Alligator mississippiensis: one gene and its partner. The protein of the gene in region 2 purifies or fractionates together with the protein of the main gene of each other region. This does not show direct contact. Links are inferred from orthologs where the notes say so. Each region holds a gene or a part of one and is shown on either strand. Other genes may lie near its edges.

What was found.
Region 1: the proteins of POLR3F (region 2) and POLR3GL purify together in Homo sapiens (co-immunoprecipitation; 5 studies listed by BioGRID and IntAct, counting the BioPlex papers as one, with this or other methods). This does not show direct contact. The link is inferred for Alligator mississippiensis from reciprocal best matches to the Homo sapiens genes POLR3F and POLR3GL.

What each region holds. Positions count from the first base shown.
Region 1 is NC_081838.1:17,884,013-17,894,621, forward strand, and holds the start of POLR3GL (DNA-directed RNA polymerase III subunit RPC7-like), read left to right. Parts: upstream 1-6,185; 5' UTR 6,186-6,252; intron 6,253-7,867; exon of another isoform or gene 7,868-8,212; intron 8,213-8,510; 5' UTR 8,511-8,568; coding exon 8,569-8,691; intron 8,692-9,388; coding exon 9,389-9,518; intron 9,519-10,609. UniProt on the Homo sapiens protein: DNA-dependent RNA polymerase catalyzes the transcription of DNA into RNA using the four ribonucleoside triphosphates as substrates. Specific peripheric component of RNA polymerase III which synthesizes small RNAs, such as 5S rRNA and tRNAs.
Region 2 is NC_081824.1:231,046,920-231,057,346, forward strand, and holds the start of POLR3F (DNA-directed RNA polymerase III subunit RPC6), read right to left. Parts: upstream 4,048-10,427; 5' UTR 3,959-4,047; coding exon 3,903-3,958; intron 3,323-3,902; coding exon 3,205-3,322; intron 1-3,204. Other genes in the region: DZANK1 (double zinc ribbon and ankyrin repeat-containing protein 1), read left to right, coding at 4,334-4,544, 5,320-5,473, 8,689-8,806. UniProt on the Homo sapiens protein: DNA-dependent RNA polymerase catalyzes the transcription of DNA into RNA using the four ribonucleoside triphosphates as substrates.

The DNA.
Region 1 (10,609 bases), on a different chromosome or scaffold from region 2:
TATATACACACACACACACATACACACACACTCTGTGTGTGTGTATGTGTATATACTGTGTGTGTGTGTGTGTGTGTGTGTGTGATATATGCAGTTGATATACTGTAGGCATACAGTATAGATGGTATAATTTCTCTCTCTCGGTCCATTCAATTGGTTACATACAGTTATGTACAATTGGTTATATGCAGTTACATAAAATTAGTTATACATACACTATCTATCTATCTATCTATCTATCTATCTATCTATCTATCATTTAAAGGAACTTCTAATACTGAATATTATAGTTGGGAATGCACTGGGGGAGAGGGAGGCACTGGAATTAAGGAATAATTTTCTCCCAGTTCTAATTGTATGAACAGGTGGTTTGAAAGCAATAAAGCATCTAGCAGCAATAAAACATTATTAGATTTCAATATAAAACAGATTTCTGGGTCAGTTGGCAGGGACCAATTAAAATAGTAAGGGACCTGGGCAGGTGAGAGAACAGACCAACACCTGAGTAGACATATAGGCACAGAGAAAATCATTGTGAAGATAATATTGCACATTCATAACCAATAATTAATCACTAATTGCATGCAACCCAAGAACTCCAGCGAGGCAGGTTCGTCTGAAAACCGACAGTGAGTGAGGCATGGGGTTTGGGGATAAACTGACAGTCATTTGGACCGACAGACCAGATCTGGTAATCTTCCCCATCTCCTTATGCATTTTAGCATAAAGGCAGCCCCCAATGCACCAGCCTGCTGAGATGCTCTCAGTTCCAGCAGCAGCTGGGGGAGAGCGGTGAAACGGGCAAAGGAAGATGCACTATATTCTGTAACAGCCCTCTCCTTTTTTCCCTTTTTTTAAAGAGAAGCATCATACCTGGAGCCCTCCGGATCTTGCCTGTCACCTCCTGCCAGCTCCTTGGGGCCACATGCTTCTGCCCCCTCCAGAAAGGAAAGCAGGGACCCGCAGCTCTTTCATGTCTTAAGCTCTTTGCAACACATTCATGCACCATGTGTGTGTGTATGTGGGGTGCGTGTTTGTGTGTGCACACGCAGGTGCTTACATTTAAAAAAAGAAAGAAAAGAAAAAGATCTGTCTCCTTCATCCAGAGACAGGGAATAAATAAATGGGAGGCAAATCATTCAGTCCATCGCAGCCCCTCTGTACAGTTTTGGGTAGCATCGCTTCTGTGTCACACAGCCACACACACACCCCTTCTGGCTGCAGCCCTGCAGATATGTTACTGAGCTCTGGTGTCTCTCAGTTACCATCAGAGACCTCCGGGTTCTTTGCTTAGACAGCTCCGAGCTGCTATTTTTAGCCCCTTTCCCATAGAACAGAAGTAGATATTCCATTAAAATACACCGAGAGATAACACTGCACCAATATACATAGGAATCGGTCCGCCTCCTCCTCACCTCCCCCTCCTCCCTTCCACTGGTTATGAATTATGCTCAGTCCTGGTCAAATCCATCTCTCCAACCCCTCCATGTAGGATGCTATGAATGAGTACAGTGCTCCATACTGTACTATAAGCCTGAACAGTGCAGAGGCCTGCGGTCCCCTGTTTGCCCACAGTCCTGCCCGGCTGAGATTGGAGTCCTGTTGTGCTTGGAGCTGAACACACAGCGAGAGGGTCCCTGCCCCTCCAGAACAGCAGATGGGAGGGGAAACTGAGGCACAGAGATGGGGCATGGCTTGCTGAAGCTCACATAGCAGAGCTCAGCATGTGGCCCCCCGGTGTCCCAAGTCTCAGGACAATATTTTACCTGCTGCCTTCTTCCTCGCACCACTATACGTGACTGACAAGCTGCAGGAAAAATTCTTTTTTGCAAGCTTTTTGGAATTTGGGGGGAATTTTTCCAAATATTCGAGTTAGTCTAATATAAGACATCAGATTTACCCAAAGAACCTTGTCTGCCTGTGTCCTTAAACCAACATGGCTACAATCTACACCCCTGTGACAAGGTGCAGGACATGGGAGCCCTGGGCCCCGGGCCTGCAGGCAGGGCTTAAGATACTCCATTCCTTGCTTCATATGGTCATTTCAGTCTCATCTTCAACCTCATCCTAGGCCTGGGTGGGATGTGCTGCCTGGTGGTTAAATCAGGGCCACTCAGCTCTGCCCTGTACAGGTCCAAGACCCTCCCCTTCCTCCCTGCCTCAGTTTCCCCATCTGTGTAATGAAGGAATTGATGTTGGTCAGCATCTGCAAAGTATCCTGAAACACAGGCACTGCAGCTGTGATTCTCTCCACCTCAATGATTTCCTCCAGCCCTTTCCAAAGCATTGAGTGCATGAAGGGAACAGGTGAGATACAGCCAAGGGTTGGCAGGGTCAGGAGATTTTCAGGCAGATGTGCTGATGGGCATGTGCCTCTGCATCCAGCGGAGCCTGTGACAGGCAGCCTGCACACTTCTTCACACCTGCCTTGCACTGTTGCTATGGTTACCCTGCCTAATTATATTCCCTCCTGCTCTTTGCCCCAAGTTCTCAGCCAACCAGGTGGCAGCGGGGGGAAAAATCCATTTCCTTCCTAATTTGTGAGCCTTTGATTTTAGCCCAACTCTGTGACAGCAGGATTTAAAACAGAGTTACTGTCACTGCGGCATTATCAGTAGTGCTAGGTGCTGTACAGCCCCTGCTTTGTAGTGGGACAGTGATATTGGCTTGGGGTGTGATTTTTTTTTACTGATGCCGCAGTCCTACCCACTAATGTAGATGCGGCTACACTGATATAAAAGTGCTTATTGCACTATGTAGGTGCAATGGCTGAGGAGTGGGTGTCCAGCTGGTGTAAGTGTAGGGGATGCACGAAAGGGCTGCATACCCCTGAATGCAGGAATGTACATGCCCATAGGCACATCCACCTGGGAGGACTTGGCTGGCACTCTTGGACCCCAAAAAGTCTATCAGCGCCAGGCGCACTGTCTTCTCACCGCTGTGTGTGCTGAGCTGGTCTGGCCCACCCCAACCACTGACTGGGACCATGAGTTTAATAAAGCAGCACAAGGGTCTGCAGGACCTAGCTGGGCAATCCCAATCTCCCAGGTTTCAACTCCTGCAGCTCTGAGCCCTCCTGCAGTGGAGATGCTCCAAGGGGCCCCAGTGCTTTTGAAAGTGCATGGGACCAAACCCCTTTGGAAATCCCAGATGACATCTCAAGCAGGGGAGAGAACTGGTCCTTGAGGTGAACCATGAAGCAGGGGAAGCTAGTTGGGGTGGGGGAAAGGGCCACCTATCCCTTCCCTGATCTTTCTTTCTTTCTCTCTTTCTTTCCCATCATCTTTCCCTTCCTTCATCCTCCTCCCTTGGTTGCCTAGGCAACTTCACAGCTGGGCACAGTATCCCAGGGCGACGGTCCTGCTGCTGAGCAAGGATAGATCCCAGCGCCCTGGAAACGGGAGGTGGGAGCGAGGTGCCTCTCTCTCCCTCTTTGCATCCCTGCACAACCCAGATGCAGGTGGTTATTTTGGGGTCGAGTTGGCTTATCCTCTGCACCCCCCCACCCCCAGCTCCTGCATTGCTATTTTTGGGCAGCACCAGGGAATGAGATGAATCACTCCAGTGCACACAGCCGAGGAGCTGCTTGAAAGCATCACGGTGGGGGGGTAGGGGGGAGGCTGGCATTGGGAGGAACCGTGGTGGTGCCTCATTCTGCTCAGAGGGGCTGGGGGCTCTGCCGCCCTAGATAAGGAAGACGTTTCAAGGGACAGAAACCCCCTACCCTGGACCTGATCTGGTGCTTATACCAATACCCACCACCATGGTATCTGTGGTGCTTATACCAATACCCACCAATTTGTGGTGCTTATACCAATACCCACCACCATGGTATCTGGGCACTTTATTGTGATCTCGAATGTATTCACCTTCACCCTCTCTGCACACCAGGGCAGTGCCATCATTCCCCCTATCCCTTTTTGCACAGCAGGGTTAAATGAGGTGTCGAGGCCACGTATTGGCCCTTGGTGTCAGAGCTGGAACTTGATCCCAGTTTTCCTGACCATGAAGCCAGCTTTTCTTTCCCTATTTCCCTACAGCTCCTTCCATTCACTTGGATTGGAAGGACTAGCTTAAATGTAGACAAAACTCTGGGGTTGGAGGTGATATCTTTCATTAGGCCAACTAAATAGTTGCAAAAAAATGTTTTTGCAACTATTTAGTTGGTGTAATAAAAGATATCACCTCTACCCCAAGAGTTTTGTCTGCTTATGTCCTTAGACCAACACGGCTACTCCTGCTACAGCTTAAACATAGTAACTGACCTCTCAGGGCAAGGGTCAAGCAGGAGGTGGTGTTGAGAAAACATCATTAGGACAGAACATCCCCTAACAGCCAGATCCAGGACTTCAGTGCCTTGGGCTGGCAGGCGAAGCAACTAGCTTTGGTGCTTGGAGGAAGCAATAGGAGAAAAGCCTGGCGGAGGAGGGCCTGTAACTACATCTGCACAGCTCCCCTTTGCTTCGGCACTGACCCCAAACACAGCCAATATGTAAAGCGACCTCCTGATGGCTTTGATCTCAGTGCAAAGCTTTGCCACAGACTTCAGCAGAGTCAGGACTTCACCCACAGGCATTTCAAGGGCCGGAGCTCCATGTCACCCCATGACCCTGGTAGGGTCTTGGTGGAAAGGATCAAGGCCGAGTGTACCAGTGTTCCTCTCCTGGTGCTCTCTCCTTGGTGAGCCTATGCCCCCCTCAGCTGCCTGGTGATGGGAAGTTGCAGCGGAGGGAACAGAAGAGGCAGGGGGGAGCTTGGTTATCTGCAGGCAGGAGATAGTTTAGCCTCCCTTTGATTCCCCAGGTAAAAATAGCTGCAGCCTTCCTGGGCTCATCTCCTGCGGTTACCCATTAACCCTTTGCTGGAGCTGGCAGTACACTAACAGGCCGAGGCCTCCTGCTAACTGGACAAGTATATTTGGGGGTGCTGTGCTGGCCAGCAGTGCTCCACACCCCCTGTTCTACCAGCCCTGGGGTCCCTGCATGCACACCTTCATCAATGGCCTTCAATCCTAGCCCCAAGGCCTTTGCAGGCAGGCGGAAGCAAGACAGCAGGGAGCTCAGCAATCAGAGGAAGAGGGGGGAGTGAAATTTCAGCAAAGAACAGGGCATATGGATGTGCCTTCCTGAAACCATCCCTCTCTCTGCTATTTATATCTGTGCAACTGTGAGCAGATCTGGCTCCCAAGATGCGCGTGTGTGAGCGTGCACAGAGGAAGAGGTTCATCCTTATCACTGCTCAATATTAGCAAGAACAGAATAGCCTCCTGCATCAGACCGGAGGCCCCTCCAGCCCAGTTTCCCGTCTCCAAAAGCAGCAAGTAATTAATGCTTTAAAGAATCTGGGAATTAGCATGTGGGTAGCGATACACCTTCAGCCTGACCTTCCCAGCCACCGCTGGTAGGACATGGGTATGTATATCCCCAGCTGCTGGGTGTAATAGCCCCTGATGGACCCGGCATCCATGCATTTGTCCAATTCAGTGGTCCTCATTCTTTTTCAGACTCGAGGCACACCTCAGAAAATGTCAGCTCCGAGTCTTCACTTTATTTTTGACGACAGAAAAATCCTGGAGCAATTCTTCTGTTGCAAAGACCTCAGCAGCTCCGAATGCTCTTTGGTTTCCTCTTGCGAATCGCGCGCACGCACCTAATCGCACTAACGTGGTGCGGCACTCTGCAGCCCCTCCGGGCAGGATCTCCAGGCACCCCACGGCACTGCAGCACCCTGGCTGAGAATCACCAATCCCATCTCACGCGGGATTTGTCCGTCTCGCCCCTACCCTGCAGCCACGAGGGAGCAGTAGGGGTCCATCAGGGTGCAATAGGTGATTCAGGGGGAGTTCCCTTTCCTTGCGGCTGCCCTGGCCTAGACTCAAGAGCAGCTGGTTTCTTCCACTCCACAGCTGGCTTTGCATCCACCTCCCCCCGCAGACCTACATACATCCTTCCCCACAAGCCAGCAGGGGCACATATACAAATACCGCCCCCCATCAAAATCAGCAGGGACTGTGACACGCCCCCAAACCAGCAGCGAGGAAGAGCCCTTCCCCCCTCCCCCCCAACGGGTTCCGCATTTATAGCCCTTTCCCGCGCCGCCGCCCCGCCCTCTCCTGTTACGTCACCCGAATGGCCACGGCGCGCACCAATGAGCGCCCGCCGGCCCGCCCCGGCCCCGCCCCTTGGAACGCGCTGTATCCCGGGCTCGCGGCGGCCACGTGCGGAGCGGGCGGGGCCGGGTCGGGCTGGGCAGGTAACGCGCGGTTCGGTTGGGCCCGGTCCGGCTCGGCGGCCCAATGGCAGCGTCGCACCCCCGCGGCCGGGGCCGGGGCCGGTGCTGGGGCTGGGGCCTGCTCTGTGCAGCCCGCGCTGGGCCCTCCGCGCCCGGGGGCTGCCTCGCTGCTGCCGCCCCGCGGGGGCACTGCGGGTGCGCACCCGGCACGGAGCCTGCCCGGCCTGCGCTGGGATGCCAGCTCTGCCCCAGGGGGCCCTTCTCCGGTTACACACTCACGTTCTCCAGTCGGGACCCAGGAGGGGGGCAGTGGCATAGAGGCCCAGGGAAGGGGGCGCTCTGCATCAGATGGGCAAGTCCTGGGCTTCTGGGCTTTGCTGGTTGCCCCCCTGCCCCTTTCTGCTACACGGGTCAAGGTGATGATGAGGCTCCCCCAGAGGCTGGGGATGGGGACTGGGCTGTGCCAGTGCTCCTAGGCACCAGGCCTGGAGGGGCCTGGCTAGAGGCTTTTGCCCCATTGCTTAGGATCAGACTGATGCTGCCTTGGTGTCAGGAAGGGATTTTACCCACTGGTCAGATTGGAAAAAACGGGGGGGGGGGGGAGAGTTACCTTCCTCCGTAGTGGGGGGTATGGCCTTCTACCTGGGATCCCTGGAGCATATATTGCTGGCAGCTCACAGAAACAGGATGTCAGCGGCCATGGTTCCCTTCTTCCCCCGTGGCAGTTTTGGGTGTGCTGTCTTGTGTCGGGGTGGACAGTAGCCTTACATAACATTTAGATTTCATAGATTTCATAGACATTAGGGCTGGAAGGGACCTCGGAAGATCATCGAGTCCAGCCCCCCGCCCAAAGGGCAGGAAGTCAGCTGTGGTCATAGGATCCCAGCAAGATAAGCATCCAGTTTGCTCTTGAAGGTGTTCAATGAAGGCGCTTGAACGACCTCCGGCGGCAGGCTGTTCCAGACCTTGGGGGCTTGGACAGTAAAGAAATTCTTACTTATGTCCAGCCTGAAACGGTCTTATAGTAGTTTATGACCATTCGACCTAGTCGTCATTCCTTGGGGCGCTCTGGTGAACAAACATTGCCCCAGATACTGGTGGTCACCCCTGATAAACTTGTAGGTGGCCATCAGATCACCCCTGAGCCTGCGCTTTTCCAAGCTAAAGAGTCCTAGGGCTCTCAGCCTGTCATCGTAGGGTCTGCTTCCCTGACCTCTGATCATGTGCGTGGCTCTTCTCTGGACTCTCTCAAGCTTCTCCACATCCTTTTTGAATTGTGGAGCCCAAAACTGGACACAGTACTCCAGCTGCGGCCTCACTAAGGCCGAGTACAAAGGGAGAATGACGTTCTGGGATTTGCTTGAGAAGCATCTATGGACGCAAGCCAGCGTTTTGGTCGCTTTGCTATCTGCAGCATCGCACTGCAGGCTCATGTTCATCTTGTGGTCAATGATGACCCCCAAGTCTCTTTCTTGCATAGTGCTAGCCAACATAGCACTGCCGAGCCTATAAGGATGCTGCGGGTTTTTCTTCCCAAGGTGGAGAACCTTGCATTTATCGGCGTTGAACACCATCAGATTCTCATCCGCCCACTTGCTGAGCCTGTCCAGGTCAGCCTGGATCACCCGCCTGTCTTCTGGTGTGGATGCTTTGCCCCAAAGTTTGGTGTCATCGGCGAACTTGGCCAGTCCGCTTCTGACTCCAGTGTCCACATCATTAATGAAGATGTTGAACAGTATGGGTCCAAGGACAGAGCCTTGGGGGACCCCACTGGTCACAGGACACCACGATGAGTGAATGGATGTGTCTGGGTTGGTTAGGACAGGGTGATCCTGCCCCACTAGGTGCCAGCCCCCCTGCCCTGGGATTATATGACAACCTCCCTGGAGAGAAGTGAAGCATGGGTTGGAGACATCTCACCCTTCCCAGCCTGCCTCATGTGAACAAAGCAGCTCTTGCAGGCCTGGGAGTAGAGGAGCAGGTAGGACCTCCTGGGAAGGGAATTTTCAGCATAGCAGGAGGAGAGTGAGGTGGCATGGAGGAAGCAAGGCTAAAAGGGGGCTTGAAATAGGCTGGTTTGATTCCCTGTGTTTGCATCTTACAGCCTTAAAGGGGAGGATGAGAGATTCCTTGGGGCAATTTATGGCCAACTGTGCACACTAACTGCACGTTACGCCTGGGGTCTCATCTCTTGCCCTGGGGTGTGGGTTTCATGTGGGCAATGGGCCCTAGGAGGGTTCCCATGGGTTGTAAGGGGCTCTCTGTCTCTGCCCTTTCAGGCCTCGGCTGCGTTGGATCCCAGCTCTCTTATGTCTGCTTTGTCTCTGCCAGCGCATCATGGCAGGACGGGGCGGCAGAGGGAGGGGGCGGGGCCAGATGACCTTCAACGTCGAAGCTGTGGGCATCGGGAAGGGAGAATCGCTGCCTCCCTCGACCCTCCAGCCATCACCGCTCTTCCCGGTGAGGTCCCCTTCTGTGCGGGGAGGAACAGCAGGTGGGAGCTGAGGCTGTGGGAACCCTCCAGCCCCTTGTTTTCCCTGCTGAATATGCCAGCGCCATGTTTTGGCTGTGGTGTGTCTTCAGGGGGTAGGACAGACCCAGCAAACTCAGTCCAAGCCCCCAGGATGAAGCAACATTAGAAGTCAGAACATAAACAATACTCACTCTCCTGCAACAGGAGGACACCATCTTCTATGGATATATTTTCCCCCCCTGGAGTATGCCATTTTCCATGGATACTATCACTTATCGGAGAAGCTTAGGGCATTGTAGCCGAAGCACCTGGCTACCCCTTTCACAACTCATGAAATTGCAGGCAGCCTTCTAAGCAGTCTAGGGTAAGACTCGAACTCAGGCCTTCAGAGTAATAGCAAGCTGTTTTAGCCACTCTGCCACTGCATCCCACCATACAGACCTGTGCTTGCTCGCAAATACATGCACACAGCTCTATGGATGTACATATCTGTGCATAAATGGTGGTCTCAAGACAGAATCCTGAATCCTAACCCCCATCTGCAAACTATAGAGAGTTTTAAGAGCCTAGTTTAAATTTCCCCCTATAAGGATGGATTTTGTAGGAGCACTGTGGCTATTAGAGTCCCAACCATGACCTATTTTATCAGTGAATAACCGTGTCCCTCACTTCTGGTCCCTGCAGCCCATGGAGTACAGGCCAGTGCCTCTGCAGACAGGTGAGGAGGTGGAGTACATGCTGGCATTAAAGCAAGAGCTGAGAGGAGCCATGAAGAACCTGCCATATTTTGTTAAGCCGGCTGCCCCCAAGAAAGGTACTGGTGACAATTCTCATTTAGATGGGGGTAGCTCATCTAAGGGGGCAGACTGCATGTTTGCTGTGGAGTAAATTCACTTCATCGTAGGAATAGAGCAGGCTTGAAATCTTAAGTTATGCTGAAGTCCATTTCTGGTCCAGAAGGCAGTGGTGTCCAGCAGCTAGAGATCAGGGTAGACGTGCAGGACATCTGGGTTTTCTCCCTGCCTCTTCCATTGGGTGACTTCAGGCAAGTCACTTCTGTGCCTCAGTTGTCCCATCTGTGAAACAGGGGTAATGATATGGACACCCCCCCCACTCCCTCCAGAAAGTAATCTGGGAAAGTAAGCATCTCCTGTAGATGCGCCCAGAGAAATTCAACGTATGCAACCAATCTACATACAACGTATACAACTCGCACGCACGCACAACCACATGCAGATAAAAGCAATATCCGTTCTACAAACACACTCCCCACTCAGACAACACACAGCACTACAGGCAACACACAATATAAAAACACACCATGCCCAATGTACTAATGGGAAGAGCTATGGATTTGTTATCACAGCAGCACTTTGGTAGTGCAAAGGGACCGCAAATATAAATTGGAGCCTATTCAATGCATTACATTGTTTGTTTCTCTTTTGCTTTGTTCATCTCTGTTACTTTGTAGGGGTCCGGCTACTCTCAGTTACCGGGAAATTGTTTTGTGATGCTTGCTTACTATCCCATGTGCTTTTGCAGGGCGGCTTTATTAATTAGAATATTATTAATAATAGCAACCACCACTTTATTAAGCATCTTTACTCCATAGTTCTCAAAGTACTTCAGGATCAAAGTAAGCTTCACCATCCCCATTTTACAGAGGGGAAACTGAGGAACAGAGAAGGGAAGGCACTCGGCCATGCTTCTGACTTGCCTGTCAAGTCAGTGGCAGAGAATCCCTGTCTCTTGGGTCCCAGACCAGTGCTTTATCCATTGGCTCAAACTGCCTGTCCTGACTCCTTTACATTCCCAGACTCCAGCCATAGCCCTGATCTACTCTTGAAAATTCCAGCTGCCTGTGGTGTGATATTTTTTTAGGGGTATAGTTGAACTGTTCCAGCC
Region 2 (10,427 bases):
GGGTGAGGGGGTTGCACAGATTGAGGCCCCTGTGATGAGGGAGAGGGTGGGGCAGGCACTGCCCAGCCAGGGTAGAGCGCAGTGTGGGACAGAGCTGTGAGAGGCTCATCCTGGGGCTGCAGGGGACGGATCCCGCCACTGTGCTCATCCCCACGGGAGCGTGTGCCCCCCGGATCTGTGCTCGGGGCAAGGGCTGCTGTGGGTTGGGTGTGGTGCCAGGCTCTTCCCAGTAGAGAGCTTGGGCCAGGGCTGCGTTTGTGTTGAGTGATAGCAGCACCCAGCATGCATTTCTTAAGATGTGGACAAAACAGCTGGCTTCATCCAGCCCTTTCGTAAGCTCAGTCCACTTCCAAATGGGATGTATAGAAAAACATTTAAACCATTTTTACCACAAAGCCTTTGGTAAAAATTGCCAACATCCCCTCATTTGAGTGTACTTGCCCCTGTTGTCACAGAAACTAACGTTTTCAGGACCCTAGGCTCTTCTCCAGAGTACTTCCAAAGACCAGCAGGGACCAAATTGCATTCTTTCATCTTTGGCACACAGGTCTTGTCATTATCACCTTTGTTATCTCAAACGACTACTGCAACAAGCTCTACCTAGGTCTGATCCTGAAGTCCACTGTACCTTTTTTTTTTTTTTTTTTTTTTTAAAGGTAGGACAACCTGATGACAGCATATTACATCAACATGCTGTTATCAGTTGCCTGCCCACCACTATGCAGGTGAAAGCTCAGAAGAGTGCAGGATCACATATCACCCCCCAAAAAAATTCTTGCCTCTCACAATTCCTGGACCACCACAGCTACAACATCACGAATACAGTACTACCATATGTCACAACCCAAAGTTGTGATTTTTTGTTTGTGTGCGCGCTTCGGCACCGCTAAATTATTTCCCGCCAATTTGTCACTTTCTTTGCACGGTAGAGTTCTCTGCTGCAAGAGAGAACTCTGGTGCAACGGGGGATTTCCCGCCAAATTATATCTTCTTTGCAGTGTGCATTTCTTTTGCATCATAGTGATACACGCTGTAAAGAAGTTCCCGCCATTTGTATTAGGATCCGTGCCACATTATTGGCCCATTCCTAATGTAGGCACACGTGGCGGCTAGCGATTGGCTTGCTAGCCGTACAAAAGGCTTGGGTAGTTTCCGCCCAAGCCGGAGGAGGGAGGATGAGAGAGATTCTGTGTGAAGATCTCCAAGCGCTGCGGACCCAACGCGCCTCCCCTAAGCAGGCAATAGAGGCAATGGAACCGAGCCTACGGAGCTTTCGCTTCTCGCCGCTCCCCATCACTGAGCGCAATCCTAGACGTATCCCTTTCCTGTAACTTCGGACCCGCGGAGCATAAGTAACTCCGGGGAAACTTTTCGAACCTAACCAAACCCAATTTTCGAACCCACGGAGTCTTAACAGCTCCAGGAGACCTGGGAACCGAACCGGACCCGCGGAGCCTGAGCAACTCTGTGGGAGCAATCGATTTGTGGTGTTCCTCTAGTGAGGATCCAAGCGGAAGCTGTGCCTGGAAACCTATCCAGCCTACACCAATACCATCTTTGGGTGTAAGTAAACAATCTTTTCGATCAACCATTATGCCTCCATAACTAATTCTAACTCGCGTGCGCTAAACCGCCCTGCGGTTCTCTCCAGCCCCGCGTGCCTGGGCTGCCGGCCACAGCCCGTGTGCAACAAAGACGGGCCCGGCTTGCCCCCGGCTCGCACATGGCGACGGGAATGAGATCGGAATCACCGCCGCACATGGCGAGAAAGGTGGGATCGGGGCGCGGCCCACACACCATACATGTGACCCTTGGAACAAAAAGATGAGTACAGGATACATTCAACAGCGACCTTTTGCTTCTAATATTTAGTGTGGACATCTTTTTCTACATTGAGCCATAAGTCTGGCCACGTTTCTAGCAAAAGGTCTTGTTATTATTATGACAAGATCAAGGCATGGGATTTCACCATCACAAATGCTCTCAGGGAAGCTGCTCTGTTCACTGTGGAGGAATGCAAGGAACCTGGGTCACCACTTCGGCATAATACTGGCTGGTGCTATTTGAGCCTGTGCAGCTATACTTGGTTATGTGGGTGTTACAGAATAACAAATGCAACTAAAATTAAAGCAGATAAAGAGGTCAGAGAGAAGCTCAAAACTAAATAAAAATCAGCCTTCAAATCCTGAATCTGGTAGAATTTGAATGAAATATAGGTCCCACTGAAGCCAGTGGCAAAACTTCCTTTGATGTCAGTGGATCTTGACTTCCACTTAGTCTCCCAAGGGAATAAATGTGCTTAACGACCCTGTCATGACCCAATGATTGTGTGTGCGCTTCGGCACTGCAGAATTATTTCCCGCCGTCGGGAGCTTTCTTTGCACAGTGCAATTCTCAGCTGCAGAGAGAAAACCCCGGTGCAAAGGAGTTCCCGCCACCCGTATGTAAATTTGTGTCCCACTATTGGCTGTTTCTAAATTATTTCCACGTGGCGGCTAGCGATTGGCTTGCTAGCCGTATAAGAGGCTTGAGCAGTTTCCGCCCAAGTCGGAGATCTCCGAGAATCTCAGGAGGATCCTGAGAACCCTGATTCCGAGAATTCCGGGAGAAATCCGAGAGAATTCCGGCAAGGAGTCCACGATTATCTCGTGGATTTCTACGTAAATCTCGGACCGAATGGTGGTTTGATCAGCCATCAAGAGTCTCTCCCCGTCACCGAACAATCCCTGACGTATCCCTACCCTGCATGCTCGTTGAGAGTCACAGCTCGGACTCTCGTATAGGTTCAGAGAGCTCTCATCGTTCGAGTTTTTTTTCTTTTCTTCTATCTACAACTGTAACCAAGCAAGTTTTCCTGCCTGCACTGCGACCATCTACAGTGTAAGTAAAACAATCTTTAATCAACCTCCACGCGTCAGTGCCTAATTCTAGTCCGCCGTGCCGACTTCCCCGGCCTACGTGCCCGGGCTGCTGGCCACAGCCCCTCGGCCCCAACAGACCCAACTGTGTTATCCCTGCACTAAAGAAGAATAGCAGTAAGCTGCTGCTAACACTGAACAAAACACGTTTTCTGCTCTAGCCAGTCCAAAAAAGTGAGCAGGCCAGGCCCAGCCCTAAAGCCACACCTGCTTAGGAAGCAAGGGTGCAGGCAGGGAAGCTGTGAGGGGATGGGCTGGTGCCCCCACCAAGCAGATGCAACCCTACCATGGAGAGCAGCCGGTTGATGGCCACGGCCCGCTGCTGGGCGTCCGTGTGGGGCATCTCGTTCTGGATCACCTGATCCGTGATGCCGTGGGGAAACTGATGGCAGAGCTCGATGATCCTGAGTGGGATGAGGAAGAGGAGTCAGTGTGGGTTAGGGTTACCATACGTTACCACGGACATTTCCTGGACATGTCCTGTTTTTGGGTCCTCCTATCTCTATCTAGGCAGTTTTTTTAAATATCAGCAAGTGTCTGGGATTTTGCTCTCCCCGGCTTGTCCCAGCAGCGGGGAAAGTTGAGTAGAGGCTGGTCACCAGTTCTTTGAGCACGGGCCCCAGCAGCTGCAGGGGTGCAGATGGGGGGGGGGGGGGGGGAGTGTGCCTGCCTGCTTGCTAGCACTGGGGCTGCAGCAGGGCAAGGGAGTTGGGGGCAGCAGGCCTGGGGTGGGAGGGCAGGGAGCTGCAGATCAGGAGTGAGGGGCACAGGAAGGCTGGGGGGGTGGGGCAGGGGGCTGTGGGTTAGAAGTGAGGACCAGGGGCAGGGCACGGACATGTCACTATCGCCCCCTCCATCATATATCCCTCCCCCCACCTACAGGTACCTTCTTTTTTTAAAATGGAAATACGGCCACCCCAGTGCGGGGCTCCCCCATGGCCCCGTACCCGCCCCGCCAGAGACACCGCAGGGCCCGCCCGGCACCTGTTCTCTACGTCCAGCGGGTCCGGGACCTCGGGCTTCACCTTGACCTCGGCCATGGCGCTGGGGGAGGAGAGGGACGCCTCCGCGCTCCCCACGCACAACTCCCCGGCAGCGACACCAGGGCCGTGCGGCGCGCACTGATGACGCTAACCACAAACTCCACCCTCACCGAACGCCACGGGCGCCGGTTGAGAGGGAGCGCGCGGCGGACCAATGAGAGGCTGCTGCCTCGGGGGGGCGGGGCTTGGCGGGGAGCGTCCGTGGTAACGGCGGGGCGACGGGGGGCGACGGAGAGGGTGAAGGCCCGGGGGGTGGCATTTCGCTGCGCTTTTATCTGCCTCGCCCGCCTGCGTGCGGGGGGTGAGGGGGATGCGTATGTGTGTGCAGGGGAGTGTGGAGGTGTGCACATACATGTAGGTGTGTTCATGCACATGCACACAAGGGTGTGCGCACACACGTGCCCCCTCACTCACATGTTCATTTTAAAAGTCATATGCTGTTTTGTTTTTCAGGTGTCCACACAGAGGGAAAAAATGACTGCTGGTTCCGTCCTCGTGCCTCAGATTATACCGCTTCAGCTTCCTCTTGCCCGGAAGGCGAAACATGAAATAGATACAAATACCCTCGTTGAAATTAAGTCAGGTACAAACAGCAGCTTTCAGTCTATAGTGGAAGCTCTTCTCCTCTTCTTCTGCAAATTGATGTCCATGCTTTTTGATACTGCATTTGTATTCACACCTTTTTTCACGGGTACCCATTTTCTTAAGTGACCAGCATAAATTTTATGGGTCTTAATTCTGCAAACACACCTGTGCTTTATACGCGTGGGTAGTCCGACTGTAGTGAACAGCGCTATTCACATAGTGTAAACTGTATGGTAAATCATAGGTGTCTGTATTTGCAGGATCAGGGCCTTTAATTCCACTACTTTTGTCCTCCTTCCATTTGAAGTGATGCTGTGTTTGTTCTGTAATCACAGTGTAGTATGAAAACCTGGGCGTTTGATGATTTTGCAGTATGCTACAATTTTTCAAAACTGGGACTTTCTCGTCAGTTCTTCTCCAAAGGTCATATCTGCCAGTTCTGAAATTCCAGTTTCTATTTTTCAACCATAATCCATGTTCACATTAGAACGTGCAAGACTTAGAACCAGTGTTTGTTTTCATACAAGATCACCTGCTCTACAGTTATCTTCTGAGAAGGGAAATCCCTGTGATGAAATTGTCCAACTATTTTGTTGCTGAATTTTGTGAGGCTTAAAAATTGATATAGTCCAGGCCTTGCAATCACTTGCACACCTGCTTAATTTTGCTTAGATGAGTAATTAAGCATATGCAAGCCTCAGCAGTACTAGACCTTCCTTATTTTTGCAAAGTCCCAATATAGTTTTAATGCATATCTTATTTGTGTCTTGCAGATACCCCTGATGTCACCATATACTACACTTTAGATGGAAGTAAACCAGAGCTCTTTAGAAAATCTGGCTATGGAGAGCATAACACTTTTAAGTATAAGGGACCTATCACCTTGCCTGATGGGAAAATAATGGTCAGAGCTACGGCAGTCACAATGTAAGTAGCAACTGTCTATCTTATATTGTTGTTGTTGTTATTTATACTGCAGCAGTGCCTGAGAATGGCAGTCAGAGATCTTGACTACCCTGTGCCAGATGCTGTACAAATACAGAATGAAAGATACTCCTTGCCTCACAAGGCTTACAATATAAGTACCTTGTATGGATTCCTTTTCATTGATATCAGTTTGCCACCACATTTATTAGTATTTACTAATTACTTGCCATGGGCAGTAGTCATGGATGAGGGCCCAATTTCACTAGGCACTATAGAATCTTGCCATGAAAAGTTTTCATCATAAATACATTTGTATAATAGTTTTTATTTTCTTAATAATTTACTTTTAATGAGCCCACTTCAAAAGATGAGCTAACACATTTTCCCACTAATGCTGTGTGGTAGTTTAATATTCCTTTTCCCATTTTACACATGGCAATCCAGAGACGGGAGCAGTCTTTCCAAGTTTCTGTGAAGTCCGTCTTTCCAGGTTTTTGTGGGTGTGGGCATGTAACAATTGAACCATTTAAAAAAATGTCACTGATTGGGAACTGGTTCACAATTGTCATGAGTCAGAGATGTTGGCATGTACAGTGCCCTAGCCTTCCAGGTAGAAGGATTACCTTTTAGCCATTGAAGAACTGTAGCTCCAACACCAGAGGATGGGAGTGAGCACTCAGCCCAGCCTGCCTCACATTGGGCAAGTAATGGGAGAAGAGTGCTTACACCCATGCTTTGAGGATCCTAAGGGGTGAATGACCTGTGATTGTGGTTCACTTTTTTGCTTTCCCTTTTCTCCTAAACATGAAAGTTCAGTAGCGTGCACTTGACCAAAGTCTGCAGTGTGCTTACCTGCCTTGTTGGGGAGAGGGGGAGTGCTTGGATCCATATTTTTGCGTTCCCGGAGGGGGCATAATGAAGGACCATGGCTGAGTAGGGGATAAGGGCACAGCTGGTTGCTAGAAAAATAGCTTTCATTAAACCAGCAGTGCCCTATAAATGTGGTAAAAAGTGCCAACAAAAAGAAAAAAGAAGGGGCAGTAGAATTCTGGTCCTATACCAGAGCAGAAAGTTACAGCAGAGGGGAGAGGGGATGAGAAGTGATGCAGTGTTGGGTGCTTAGACCATGGAAACCCCCACCAATCTGAATCATGGACAACTTGGACTCCACAAATAACATTGACGCAGTTCACAGTGAACCAGTTCAAAAGAGTACTTGATTTTCCAGGTACTCATCTGAACCATTCCAGGCAGTTTAAAATTGGTTTAACAGACTAGTATGTCTATCAGGTTTAAACAGCATGTAAACTATTCTTAGTGTTATGTCTGTCCAGACCCAAAGCATACTGCTCAAGGCCATCTACTAGATTAGTAATAGATTAAAGGCTAGTTGTTCATAATCCCAGCCCCACAAGCCTCACTAGATCACACTGGGTGCATCTACACATGCAAATGATGCTAGATGGGTTTACTCCACAGTAATTTACTGTGGAGGAAACCCACCCTGGGTAGGCATCTACATCTGCAGGCATTTGGGACCAGATTTGCTCCCAAACAGAGCAGCCCAGAGAAGGATGCTCCCACCCTGGTTTGGCCCCCTGAAGCAGCCAGGGGAAACTTTAGGCTCCCACTGGGTACAAGCCCAGGGGCTGGCAGAGAGCATGGGGCCAGGAGACAGCTGTCTCCTGGTGGGGGATGGGAGACTGCTCCTTGCCCCTGGGAGGTGTCTGCTGCTAGGGTAGGCGCCAGTGGTGAAGCCTGGCTTGGGACTGTGTTCCCCTGCCCCAGCAGCAGAGAGCTCGAAGCCCCGGCTCCACAACTGCGGGCAGGGGGCTTGGAAATTGCTGCAAGGGAGGGGCAGGTCCCAGCCTCCTACCCCAGTCCACCAGTGGGGCAGCTAGCAGTGAACCTCAGCTGAGTGGGGATTTCTCCCTGTTCCACCAGTGGGGCAGCTAGCAGTAAGCCCCAGCTTGGCGGGGATTCCCTACTCAGTCAGGAACTCACTGCTAGCTTCCCCACTGGCAGATGAGGTCAGGAGCCTGGGACAGCTCCCAACCACCCCCGGCTTTGCAAGGAATCCTTGCCCAGCTGGAGGCTCACTGATAGCTGCCCCACCGACGGATTGGGCAGGGGGCTGGGACCTGCCTGTCCTCTGCAGCTCTTTCCAAGCCCCCTGCCCCTAATTGTGAAGCCACAGCCAGGAGCTCCATGCTGCTGGGACAAGGGACCATTGTCGCAGCCCAGGCTCTGCCATTGGAGCCCGCCCTGGCAGCAGGCAACTCCTTGGGGCAGGGAGTTATCCACCCTTCCTCCCACCCCCTCTCCTCCTCCCCGCCAGCTGCCCAACTGACTGGAAGCAAATTTGATCCTGGTCAGCTGTCTACACAGGCAGACACTTATTGCACAATACATTGGTCTACTCCACAGCAAATGCAGGTAGCAAATTAATTACATAGTTACTGCATAGTAAGGCATGTGTAGATGGCTGACTGGGAACAAATTTTCTTCCAGTCAGCCAGGCAGCAGGGGGCGGGAGATTGATCCCTGCCCCTGGGATCTTGCTGCACAGTAAATTGTTCTACTGTGCAATAAAGCATCTTGAGTAGACGCACCCACTGTCTCCTAATATTAAAATTCTAGCGCTTGAATTTTAAGCATTGACCTGGCCGTGGTGCCACTAGTTTCTTGTTCAGCATTTGTGGATGTTGGAGCATACTTGGAAGTTCCACTCCCTGGGTTTCGGGGCTGAGGTATCAGTGACATGTTGGTGTGTTGCAGCAGAGAGTGCTGGCCTAAGCTGCTTTTAGAGCTGCACTATGGACCCCTAATTATAAGTAGTCATACAAAGTAGGAGATAAATACTCCCCTACCATACATCCTTATAAATAATGGGGGGCATGCTGCCTTCTCTCATGCAAATGAATGGCACCCTAGTAATCACTAGTAAGGCATATTGGGAGCAAAGAACAGGTGAAAGAGGATTTTTGTGAAAGAGGAACAGGTATTAAATGTATCCATTTTTTTTCTATCCGTTTTTATTGGTGAATTTTATCATACCTAGAATATCAGTGGTTTGTTTGACTGGGATTATGCTTGTTTGATGAAATAGTAGTCTGCTGTCCAGAAGGAGGAGTTTCAAGACAGGACCTATTTTCAGTGTTGATTTACTTTTTACTGCACATAATTTTGTGGTATACCTTTTTACTGACTTTCAGGGACTGCAGAGAAAGTGCCATTGTAACAAAGATGTTTTTGGTAGAATACAAGCCACCAAACATACTGTTCTCTGATGAAGATAATGATGAGAATTTCCTGAAGGACCTCTCCAAACAGGCAAGTTACAGTAACAGTAAGTCCTTGTTTAGCCATAACAGTATTAACTTTCACAGAGATTAAATCCTGTTAACCACAGAGTATAATTATTTTAATTTACCAGTTTGTCCGTCTTAGTTGCTTTTACACTTTTCTAAAAGTGGCTGTTTTTTCTTTGTTAGAAGAGCCAATTAGAACTATTCTGATCCAAATGGATAAAAGCCTAAGATTTAAAAAATATTAAAACATATGTCTTAACATGTAAATCAATTTTTAATTAAAATATTTTTTCTTTTAAAAATAAAACTACTTAAAAGTATGAGTAATATTTATTAATTCCAGTTTGAAATGCAAAATGTGTAGACAGACTATTTTTCTTTCCTCTATCCAGTACATTGAGAGTAGGTTTTTTGTACCAAATATAAAAAATGAATAATTGTTGGGTTTTGAGCATTTTAATGAGGCCTGCTGCCTCCCAGGGGCCCGTATCTGGGATGTAGCTGAAAGGAACCCTAACCTTATCTGACCCTTCAACCACTACCTCACATTCCTCATCTATGTGGGTACAAACGACATGGTTCAGAGCAATCCCAGCCAGGTCATAAGTGACTACAGGGCTCTGGGGCCAGGCTCAGAGGGTTGGGGGCACAGGTGTTTTTTTCCTCGATCCTTCCTGTTATGGGTTACAGGCGCAGGAAGGAGAGATGTATTGATGAAGTAAAAAGAAGATTGAGGTGTTGGTGCCACTGCGAAGGCTTCAGCTTCTTCAATCAGAGTCCGCACCTCAGAGACAGACCTCCACCTCACCCCAATGGGAAAGAAGCTATTTTCAACTGGATTGGCTGTCCTTCTTGACAGAGCTTTAAACGAATATTGTTGGGGGATGGGCGAACAACCATCGGAGCAAGCCCAGGAAGTGATAAACACATAATCAGCAGGTCAGGAAATACAATCAAACTTATTCTGACCCCAGCCCAAGGACAGGATTCCTGTAAATGCACAAAGAAGCAAGCCTAGGGCTTCTGATGGCAAGCTTAGCTGCCTGTGCATGAATGCCAGGAGCATGGGGAACAAATAGGAGGAACTGACCCTTCTGCTAAGCAATAACAAATATGATTTCATAAGGATAACGGAGACCTGGTGGGACTGCACCTATGACTGGACCACAGGTATAGATAGCTATACCTTGTGTAGGAGGGACCGTGTTGGGTAGAAGGGAGATGACCTGGTAGGGGAGCTGTAGATTCATGGTCATCTTGGGGACAGTGACCACCAATCAATTGAATTCAACATAGGGTGTAGAGCGGGTAAGATAACTAGTAGGGTGGAAGTGCTGTACTTTAGGAAGGCTAACTTCGGTGTGCTCAGGAGTTTAGTCAATGATGCACTGCAGGATAGGAAGTCGTTCCTAAAGGAAGCGATCCTTCGGGCGCAGAGGGAGACGATCCCAGTGCAAGGGAAAGGTGGGGAAATGGGCCAAAAAACTTCCTTGTCTAAACAGAGAAATCCAGGGAAGGCTTAGGGCAAAAAAGGAGGCATATAGGCAGTGGAAGCAGGGGGAAGCTACCAAGGAGGAGTATACCTACCTGGCCCACACTTGCAGGGAGGCAGTTAGAAAGGCCAAAGCAACTATGGAGCTGAG